Anolis sagrei: one gene and its partners. The protein of the gene in region 1 interacts with the protein of each later gene in a pairwise test. Links are inferred from orthologs where the notes say so. Each region holds a gene or a part of one and is shown on either strand. Other genes may lie near its edges.

The links.
Region 2: the proteins of DDX6 (region 1) and BIRC7 interact in a two-hybrid assay, tested with the Homo sapiens proteins (3 studies listed by BioGRID and IntAct). The two-hybrid records come from large-scale screens. The link is inferred for Anolis sagrei from reciprocal best matches to the Homo sapiens genes DDX6 and BIRC7.
Region 3: the proteins of DDX6 (region 1) and SIPA1L2 interact in binary tests that used the Homo sapiens proteins (3 or more experiments, as listed by UniProt). The two-hybrid records come from large-scale screens. The link is inferred for Anolis sagrei from reciprocal best matches to the Homo sapiens genes DDX6 and SIPA1L2.

The regions. Positions count from the first base shown.
Region 1 is NC_090027.1:43,714,107-43,717,863, forward strand, and holds the start of DDX6 (probable ATP-dependent RNA helicase DDX6), read right to left. Parts: upstream 2,404-3,757; 5' UTR 2,198-2,403; intron 1-2,197.
Region 2 is NC_090024.1:235,233,815-235,237,571, reverse strand, and holds the start of BIRC7 (baculoviral IAP repeat-containing protein 7), read right to left. Parts: upstream 2,641-3,757; 5' UTR 2,299-2,640; coding exon 1,659-2,298; intron 1-1,658.
Region 3 is NC_090021.1:60,225,706-60,229,462, forward strand, and holds the start of SIPA1L2 (signal-induced proliferation-associated 1-like protein 2), read left to right. Parts: upstream 1-1,190; 5' UTR 1,191-1,566; intron 1,567-1,589; exon of another isoform or gene 1,590-1,715; intron 1,716-3,757.

The DNA of each region.
Region 1 (3,757 bases):
GAAATAAAGTTAATAATAATAATAATAACAACAACTTTATTTGTACCCTGCTACCATCTCCCCAACACAATACACAATAACAACTTTATTTGTACCCCACTACCATCTCCTAACACAATATACAATTATTATTATTATTATATTAGCATTATACTAGTATTACTATATTGTTGTTATGCTACGTTTTTATTGAGGCCTTGGCCTGTGTAAGCCGCATCGAGTCCTTTAGGAGATGCTAGCGGGGTACAAATAAAGTTAATAATAACAACAACTTTATTTGTACCCCGCTACCATCTCCTAACACAATATACAATTATTATTATTATTTTTATTATTATTATATTAGCATTATATTAGTATTACTATATTGTTGTTATGTTATGTTTTTATTGAGGCCTTGGCCTAGTGTAAGCTGCATCGAGTCCTTCGGAAGATGCTAGCGGGGTACAAATAAAGTTAATAATAATAAGAATAATAATTGTATATTGTGTATATTAACTGTTTTGTATTGATTATTGTTATTGCTTTTGTTTATTGATGTGCTGTGGGCTCCCTTGGGGAGATGGTAGCGGGGTACAAATAAAGTTATTATTATTATTATATTAGCATTATATTAGTATTACTATAGTGTTGTATATTGTGGTTAATAACAATAATATATTGTGTATATTAACTGTTTTGTATTGATTATTGTTATTGCTTTTGTTATTGATGTGCTGTGGGCTCCCTTAGGGAGATGGTAGCAGGGTACAAATAAAGTTATTATTATTATTATTATTATTATTATATTAGCATTATATTAGTATTACCATAGCGTTGTATATTGTGGTTAATAATAACAATAATAATAATTGTATATTGTGTATATTAACTGTTTTGTATTGATTATTGTTATTGCTTTTGTTTATTGATGTGCTGTGGGTTCCCTTAGGGAGATGCTAGCGGGGTACAAATAAATTTGTTATTATTATTGTTATTATTATATTAGCATTATATTAGTATTACTATATTGTTGTTATGCTGTGTTTTTATTCAGGCCTTGGCCTGTGTAAGCCGCATCGAGTCCTTCGGGAGATGCTAGCGGGGTACAAATAAAGTTAATAATAACAATAATAATAATAGTATATTGTGTTGGTTATTGCTATTGCTTTTGTTTATTGATGTGCTGTGGGCTCCCTTAGGGAGATGGCAGTGGGGTACAAATAAAGTTATTATTATTATTATTATTAGCATTATATTAGTATTACTATAGTGTTGTATATTGTGGTTAATAATAAGAATAATTGTATATTGTGTATATTAACTGTTTTGTATTGATTATTGTTATTGCTTTTGTTATTGATGTGCTGTGGGCTCCCTTAGGGAGATGGCAGTGGGGTACAAATAAAGTTATTATTATTATATTAGCATTATATTAGTATTACTATAGTGTTGTATATTGTGGTTAATAATAAGAATAATTGTATATTGTGTATATTAACTGTTTTGTATTGATTATTGTTATTGCTTTTGTTATTGATGTGCTGTGGGCTCCCTTAGGGAGATGGCAGTGGGGTACAAATAAAGTTATTATTATATTAGCATTATATTAGTATTACTATAGTGTTGTATATTGTGGTTAATATAAGAATAATAATTGTATATTGTGTATATTAACTGTTTTGTATTGATTATTGCTATTGCTTTTGTTTACTGATGTGCTGTGGGCTCCCTTAGGGAGATGGTAGCGGGGTATAAATACAGTTAATATTACTATTATTATTATTATTATATTAGCATTATATTAATATTATTATGTTGTTGTATATTGTGTTAGGATACGCCCCTTTCGCCAAAAGAGTTGAGGGCGCAAACAAAGGTCGGCTGCATCCCGAAATTGGGGATGGAGAGAAGAAATGGGGAGAGTTTGTGGGAGAAAAAGAAGGGGGAGCGGGAGGGGGCGGGAAGGCGAGGCCGAGCCAGGGTGCGTGCTGGGCGGGGAAGCGCGCCACGCGAGGCCGGGGATGCGCTTCCCCCGCTAGGCCGCACCTCCCTCAGAGAGTCAGGAGCGAGGCCTGACTCAGGAGGGACGTCTCTCCCTTTCGAGCCCCGACCGGAAGCGGCGCCATTTGCATTTCCCCCCGCTTCCCTTTCCCTGGCCTTCCCTCAGCGAGGCCTCCCTTCCCTCGTCAGGCCTCGAGCCTGGGTTGGAGCTTACCCGCCCGCGCCCGGCTGTGGCTCCTTCCTCCGGCTGCGGCCCCTGGGCTCCCCCCTCCGCTCTCGCGCTCCCGCGCCTCCGCCCTCGGCCGCTGGCTCCTTTCGGGACGATGGCGGCCTGGGAGGCGGCGGCGACGGCAGCGGCAGCAACAGCGACGCGACAACAAGATGGCCGCTCTCTCCCTCCTTCCTCCTCCTCCTCCTCCTTCCCTTGCGTCCTTCCTCTCCACCAGGCCCCGCCTACTGCCCACTGCGCACGCGCGCCTTGCCAAAAGGGGGCGGGGCGACAGGGCGGCTCGGGCCTCGCCTCTGAGTGGCTCGGGAGAGCTGCCGTGGGCGGGGCTTCGTGAAGGGCACGCCCCCTTTTCGTTTTGTTTGGGTTGCAAGGAGAGGAAGGAAGCAGCTAATCTCTCTCTCTCTCTCTCTCTATCTATCTATCTATCTATCTATCTATCTTCTATCTATATCTATCTACTATCTATATCTATCTATCTTCTATCTATATCTATCTATCTATCTTCTATCTATATCTTTCTCTATCTATCTCTATCTATCGCTATCTATATCTATCTATCTAATCTATCAATCTATCTATGTCTATCAATCTATCTATCTAATCTATCTATATCTATCTAATCTATCTATATCTATCTATCAATCTATCTAATCTATCTATCCATCTAATCTATCTATATCTATCTATATCTATCTATCTATCTATCTATCTAATCTATCCAGAGAAGAGAATGATGCTGGGGAAAGTGGAAGGCAAAAGGAAGAGGGGCCAACCAAGGGCAAGATGGATGGATGGCATCCTTGAAGTGACTGGACTGACCTTGAAGGAGCTGGGGGTGGTGACGGCCGACAGGGAGCTCTGGCGTGGACTGGTCTATGAGGTCACGAAGAGTCGGAGACGACTGAACGAATGAACAACAACAATCTATCCATCTAATCTATCTATCTATATCTATCTATCTAATCTATCGCTATCTATCTATCTATATCTATCTATCTTCTATCTCTATCTATCTATCTTCTATCTATATCTATCTATCTATCTATCTATATCTAAAAATCAATCAATCTATCTATCTATCTATATTCTCTGTGCATAATGAGTATCTTAAAAACAAAATAACCAATGAACGAAATCACACCAAATTTGGCAACAAAACGTCTCACTACACAAGGAGTGACGATCACTCAAAAAAAGATGATTTTGTCATTTGGGAGTTGTAGTTGCTGGGATTTATAGTTCAGCTACAATCAAAAACATTCTGAACTCCACCAATGATGGAATTGAACCAATCTTGGCACACAGAACTCCCATGACCAACAGAAAATACTGGAAGGGTTCGGAGGGCAGTGTCCTTTGGTTTGGGAGTTGTAGTTCACCTACATCCAGAGGACACTGTGCACTCAGACAATGATGGATCTGGACCAAACTACACAAATACTCAATATGCCCAAATGTGAACACTGGTGGAGTTTGGAGAAAATAACCTTAACACTTGGGAGTTGTAGTAGCTGGGAGTTATAGTTCACCTACAATCAAAGAGCA
Region 2 (3,757 bases), on another chromosome or scaffold:
GAAAAAGGGTTTATATGTCTGTGGAATGACCAGGGTGGGACAAAGGACTCTTGTCTGCTGGAGCTAGGTGTGAATGTTTCAACTGATCACCTTGATTAGCATATAATGGCCTGACAGTGCCTGGAGCAAACTTTTGTTGAGAAGTGATTAGATGTCCTTGTTTGTTTCCTCTCTGTTGTTGTGCTGTCGCAATTTTAGAGTTTTTTAATACTGGTAGCCAGATTTTGTTCATTTTCATGGTTTCTTCCTTTCTGTTGAAATTGTCCACATGCTTGTGGATTTCAATGGCTTCTCTGTGTAGTCTGACATGGTGGTTGTGAGAGTGGTCCAGCATTTCGGTGTTCTCAAACAAAATGCTGTGTCCAGGTGGTTTGTCAGGTGCTCTGCTATGGCTGATTTGTAATGTTACATTATAATATCAATATTATATTCTACTAGCTGTACCCACTACACATTGCTATGTCTGACCTTCCCTCTCTCTTTCTCTTTTCTTTCTCTCCTTCCCTCTCACCCTCTTCCCTTTTTTCCTCCCTTCCCTTTTTTCTTTCTTTCTCTCATTCCTTCCTTCCCTTCCTTTTCCCTTTCTTCCTCCCTTTCTTTCCCTTCCTCTTTTTTCCTTCTTTACCTATTCTTGGACTGCAACTCCCAACAGCCCTCCTGATCCATCTATCTACCTATCTACCTACCAATCTCTATCTAATCTATCTATTTATCTGGAAGATTGGTGGGAGTTGCAGTCCAGGAATAGGAAATTGGAAATATGCAGGGATTGAGATGCTCTCAAAGAAATCCAAGGAGAAGCAAGCTTGCATCTTGGAAGCAGTGCATTTGGATCATCCTCCTCTCCTAAGGGGCCTGGTCTAGGAGATGCTGGGAGCTGTAGTCCGGAAGAGAGTGTGGATATGCTATTGTGTGGGGGGTTTTTTTGCCAAGGGAGCCATTTTGCGCATGCGCTGTAGCATTTATTTCTTTTTTTGTTGCTTTTTAAGTCCCTTCCGCTGTGTTTTTCAGTGTTTATATGAGTTATGGTCACTCATTGGGCTGAGAGGTATATTGTGTCCACATTTGGTGTCAATTTGCCCAGTGGTTTTTAAGTTATGTTAATCCCACAAATGAACATTACATTTTTTATTTGCATAGATTACATTATATTATCAATATTATATGTGTATACAATATATTATTAGCACAGCACAATATTAGTATTATATATTACTATATTGTACTATACCATTATACTGTAATATTATTACTAATATTACATGTAATAAAATATATAATTATGATATTGTATTATTAGTAGTATTATATTGTACTACATTATAATATTGTTATCAATATTATATGTGTGTGCAATATCTTATATTATTAAAAAGCACTTCTGCACCAACAAGCTAATTGCTAAATGCCTGTTGAAATAAAATATTCTTCCTAGACCTCCTCTTTCAAAGTCAAACCATTCTGAACATGATGACTGAAATGGAGCCTTCACAAACAGAAGTACTTTCAATGCACATTCAACATTAATAAACAAGTAAAGTAATTGGTTTTGCAATATTATTTTCGAGTTCCCTGAAAAAGACCTGCTGGGACCAGAATACTGTACTACCTGGACTTTGGGTAAGACCTAGCAGGACAGTGCTGGTATTTGTGCATACCTGTGTAGAAAAAGCCTGCTCCCACCAGCTCCTCTGGAGACACGTGAGCGTAGGGTGGCCAGCAGTGATATGTCCTCAGGCGATCCCTTTCCATTTCCAGATCTGGATATTCCGGTTGGCTGTCTCCGGCAGCTTCTTCCATGTTCAAACTTTGCAGCATGCCAAGGAACTGGCCATCCACACAGTCCGGGATTTCTCCAGCCCGAGGCAGGGGCTGGTTGCCGAAATCCCTGCCCTGGATGAAGGGACAGCTTGGGAAGAACTTCTCATGCTCCACCATGGGGTCGTCTTCAGCAGTCCAGTCGTAAAGCACTCCTCCACAGCAGAAACACTCCACGTGGTCACCAGGCCCAATGAAGAAAAACCCAGCTGCAGACAAGTCGGATGGAGAGACAGGTACCTGCTCTGACCAGTGCCGGAAGGTCCTGAGTCGCTTTTCTTCCGATCTCATACCAGAGTGTGACAAATAGATTTGCCGGCCCCTGGTTTCCTCTGGAGAGGAGCTGCCCTCTGAAGATGCACTCTCCCTTCTGTTTGGATCTTCCATTTCCCGGTTGTTAGGCAGGAAAGAGGCCAGCACATCAGCAATAAACCTGGTGCTAGATGCAAGCAAACGCGTATGCACATCAGCAGCCTGCATGCTTTGGTCTTCTTTGGCTCTACCAACCGATCCACTGACAGTGTGTTCTGGAAATCTCCCAACTCCAAAAGCCAAACAAGCTCCCAAACAACAGATATTCAGAATTCTGGCTTTTCTGCAGTCTGCTGATTTTATTATTGGAGGTCAATGGTAGCCCTTCTGTCCAATTCTTCTCCTTGCTTGAACAGGAAAGGAAGAAAAAGAGAAACAGTCACAGCTAGCCAGATGTGAGTGTGAGTATTTTGGGTGGGGAGGGAGAAAGAAGAGAGAAATCCAGCAACAGTTTAAAGCAGGGGCACACTGGACACAAAAGGTCTCCTGTCAGACTGAATGCCTTGTGGACTTTGTTCAGGCAGGACAAAAGGGAGGGAGGTAATCCAGTGACTCACAGAATGACTAAACAGGTCTAATGTTTATGCCATTTACATAAAAGTAAAAGACCCATCCCACTGGTCTCCTGTTTATATATGTGTGTACTATTTTTTTCACTTTGAAATCAGTTTGCAGCAACTGAAAAAAAATGAAGAAAAAAAGAGAAAGTGGGAGGACAAGAAAGAAACCAGGATATTTTAAAACCAGCTGGAAAAGTGGAAAGCATAAGAAAAGTCAAGGCTGTTGAGAAAATAAACAGATTACCCCTGGATACTTTTTGGAAAACAGTTCCAAACTGTCTCTAAAATGTTCAAAATGTTTTAATTTACTTAATTACTTGGATCTGGTAGTTTCACTTTGCATGAGCATATTATTTGTTTTGAACAAAAGTTTGCTGTTGTTCTTTTCTATGGTGTAGGAATAGAACTCTATTATTTCCATGTTATACATGACTCTGGTATCAAATTCTCTGTTGAAACAGTAATTTCACGGAGCAATTAAGGCAATGGTTCTTAACCTTCCTAATGCTGCAACCCCTTAATATAGTTCATGTTGTGGAGACCCCCAACTATAATATTATTTTTGTTGCTACTTCATAGCTGTAATTTTGCTACTGTTATGAATTGTAATGTAAATAATATCTAACATGCAGGATGTATTTTCATTCACTGGACCAAATTTGGAACAAATTCCCGATATGTCCAAATTTGAATGCTGGTGGGGTTGGGAGGGATTGATTTTGTCATTTGGGAGTTGTAGTTGTTGGGATTTATAGTTAACCTCAATTAAAGAGCATTGTGAACTCCACCAACAATGGAGTTGAATCAAACTTGGCACACAGAACTCTCATGACCAACAGAAAATACTGAAAGGGTTTGGTGAGCAATGACCTTGAGTTCTGGAGTTATAGTTCACCTACCTCTAGAGATCACTGTGGACTCAAACAATGATGGATCTGGACCAAACTTAGCATGAATACTCAATACACCCAAATGTGAACACTGATTGATTTTGGGGGAATAGACCTTGACATTTGGGAGTTGTAGTTGCTTGGATTTATTGTTCACCTACAATCCAAGAGCTTTCT
Region 3 (3,757 bases), on another chromosome or scaffold:
GGAAAACAGCCCTAAAGACCAAAGAACTCCAGCTGGAGAACATCTACTGCCTTGCTGGTAGGTCCACTCGGCATTCGAGATGCAGTTCGACCCTGTAGCGGAGTCCACATCAGTAAGGGTTAGATTACAGTCAGCCTGGGAGAAGTTAAAACGGGGATTTTCCTTTAAAGAAGAAGTTATTGAAAACAGTTGCCTGTCCTTCATGGGCAAGATTAGGAATTCACCAGTTGCCTAAAAGCTTGGAATCATTTGCTTAACTTTACTGAAGACAAGAGAAGTTTCTGTTTGATTGTTCTTTAATAAAAGACTTTGTTGTACTTCTCAAGCCATCTAAAGACGGTTTGTGGTGGAAACCTCTGAGAACTTCTCTTTAGGCCTCCTGGCTTCCCGCTGGGCAAAGATTGCACATCCTGTTCTAAAGACAATTATTTACAGGCCCAGCACAGGACAGAACAATAGTGAAGCAACCAAGTTTGGGGGAGGGGGGATGTTGAATGCTCTCATTAAGGAGGCCAGACTTGGTGGAGGTGGTTGACAAGGACGGAGCTGCAGGCTATTGAAGGCTGCTCTGCCCCCTGCTGTGCTCTTTGCTACAGCGTGAGCTAGGAGGCAGGTTTCAACCCCCCCCCTTGCGAAATTTTCAACCTCCCCCCCCCCCCGAAAATTTAAACCCCTCCCGAAATTTTTTTCTGGCTACGGCCCTGCCTGGAGGGCCCAAGTTTGTCCATGCCTGTGAGTCTACACTGCAGACTTAACGCAGTTTGGACACCACTTGAAGTGCCATGGCTCCATGCAATGGAATCATGGGATTATGAAGTTCTTTGGCAGAGAAAGCTAAAGGACCTTGCAAAACTATAACTCCCATGACGTCACAGTTTTAAAAGTTGTGTCGGAGTGTATTAATTCATTCTGCAGCGTAGATGCACCTTACTGCAAAACAAGAGGCAAGGAAGGAGAGAATGAAAAAAAAAAAAGAAGCAGCAGCGCTCTTCGGACTCTAAAAGGCAAAGGAGACAAACAATTGGAAGAAGGAGGGGGAAAAAGGGGGGGCGAAAGGGGAAGGGCAGGGGGCGGGGCGTTCTGCCATGATGGGGAGGAGGGGGCGTGCCTTCCCGAACAGCACAGCCCAATAAGCGTGCTAGGGTTGGTCACAGAGTGAGGAAGGCAGCCAATGGGAGGCGAAGGGGCGTGGCTGAGTGGGTGCGGGTGCCTTGTGCTGGAGCTAAGCTCATCTTTCGGGCTCCCATCCTCCTCCTCTCCCTTCCTTTTTTTTCCTATCCGGCAAAACTGAGCCTGCAGCTCTCCGTCCTCGCGCTGGCGAAAGAAGCGGCCGTTGAAGGGGAGGCAAGCGGGCGCGAGGGGGAAGGAGCGGCGCGCGCCGAGGAAGGAGCCGCTCGCGCCCCCTCCCCTCCGCGTCACTTCAACAGACCCTCCGTCCTCTCTTGGCGAGCGCGAGGCAGTCAGTCCAGTCAGTCAGTCAGTCGCTCAGCGAGAGAGTTGACTTTATTTTTCCCCTCTCTGGCGAACGCGGGACTCTTCGGCTGAGGGAGGAAAGGAAAGAAGAAGGTGAGGGGTTTGTTCTCCGCCTGGGAATATAGGGAAGTCAAGCGCGGTGCGAGAAGGACTACCTGGGGGCCTCCCTCGGCCCGGCCTCCGTCCCACCACCGGCACCTCTCTCTCGGGGACCTTTCCCCCCTCAGACCGTCGTTTTGTGGGTGAGAGAGAGAACTGGCTGGGATGCTTCAGGCTTGGGCTCTTGTCGCCTTGTGTATGTTTGCGTGTTGTGAGCTCTGTTATGATTTCAGGGGCATTTCTAGTCTAGGCTTTCACCCCCCTCTCTTTTCTCTTTCTCTGGAATGCCCGAGACTTGTAGGGGCCTTGATACTGCAGGAATGCACTGTGTATGTATGACTATATGGACTAGGTGGGGGTGTTTAACACTTGTGGGTCTTTTATAGTGTATATTTTAAGTCTGTGTGTGTGGGTAAAGCTATTAACAACACTATTTATAACAACACTTTATTTGTATTGTCGAAGTTGTTCATGGACGGAATCATTAAGTTGTTGTGAGTTTTCCGAGCTGTATGGCCATGTTCCCGAAGCATTCTTACCCTGGACCTTCCACAGATATAGAAACCCAATTTCCCAGTTTCCAACAAACCTCACAACCTTGCCACAGATGCAGGCAAAACGTCAGGAGGGAATGCTTCTAGAACATGGCCGTACAACCTGAAAAACCTACAACAACCCATTCTCTTCTGACGTTTCGCCTGCATCTGTGGCAGACAACCTCAAAGATCGTGAGGTCTGAATGCTTCTGGAACATGGCCATACAGCCCGGAAAACTCACAACAACCCAACACTTTATTTATAACCCGCCTTCTCTCCCCCCCTTTATAGTTCAGGCAAGGAGTGTACTGACAATGGACAGGCTTTGGACACTGAATTAGACTTAGATATGGCTATATGGTTGATAATAATGTTTTAAATTGATTATTAACCTAATGTTTTTATCTAAAACGTAATGTCATGGTATAGTGTGTTTTTGTATGTGTTGGCATCGAATTGTTGCTGGTGTAAGCCGCCCTGAGTGCCCCCCCCCCCTTGTGGTTGAGAAGTACAGGGCACAAATAATACATGTGTGCAAAAGATTTGTGGGTATACCAGGCATGGGCAAACTTATTGTGTATACCATTTATACCAGGCATGGCGTACTTTGGCCCTCCAGGTGTTTTGGACTTCAACTCCCACAATTCCTAACAGCCACTTCCTAATTCAATCCATGTTCCCCACCCTTGTGATGGTAGAATGTGGACTTCATTACCACTGAGCCTAATTGGAGCCAAACATACCCAAAGATGTATTGTCAAAGGCATTCATGGCCCAAATCACTGTCCCAGAAGCATTATCTCTTGACATTTTTCTTGCATCTATGGCCGGAATCCTCATACCCAAAGATGGTGAACCAGATTTGCTCTCCCAGATTTTGGCCTTGAGGTGGGATGCAAAACTCCTCCTCTTGATTTTCCTTTCCTTGACAAAATAACCATGTAGGTTGGGTCCAGGCAATCTGCCTCTCCATATCATAGAAACACAGAGTTGGAAGAGTCCACAAGGGCCGTCCAGCCCCATATGAATCTTGGGTTCATGGCATGACTTCTCTAACAACATTTAGTAGCATATGTAGGAATAAATTGAAAAGAATAGGGATAGGTTCCTACACAAAAAGGGAGTTAAAATAACTAATACGCACATTTGAAATAGACATATGCTCAAATCCTCTGTGTGAGAGAGAACCGGTTGAGGTGCTTTGGATTTGTGGGGATTTTATATAGTGTAGGCATAAATTAGGTGTGTACATTCATGTGGGTAAGTCTGCTGGGGTGCTTAAGACTACGGAGCATTTATATAGCCCTGGCACGGGCAAACTTAGTCCCTCCAGGTGTTTTGAATTTCAGCTCCCCCAATTCCTTACAGCCATAGTTACACAGTATATGTATGCGAACTGGCAGGGTGTATGTGCATAAGACTCGCGGGGCTTTTGTAGTGTAGTGTAGTGTGTTTGTGTATGAGCTAGCTGGAGCACTTAAGTCTTGTGAGGTTTTATAGGATAGGAATACACTATGTGAACTGCTGAGGGTGCTTAAGATTTATGAGGATTTTATAAGAGTAGGCACACTGTGTGTGAGCTGCTGGGGTGCTTAAGATTTTTGGAATATTTATGCTGTAGGCATGCAGTATATGTACATGGGAGCTG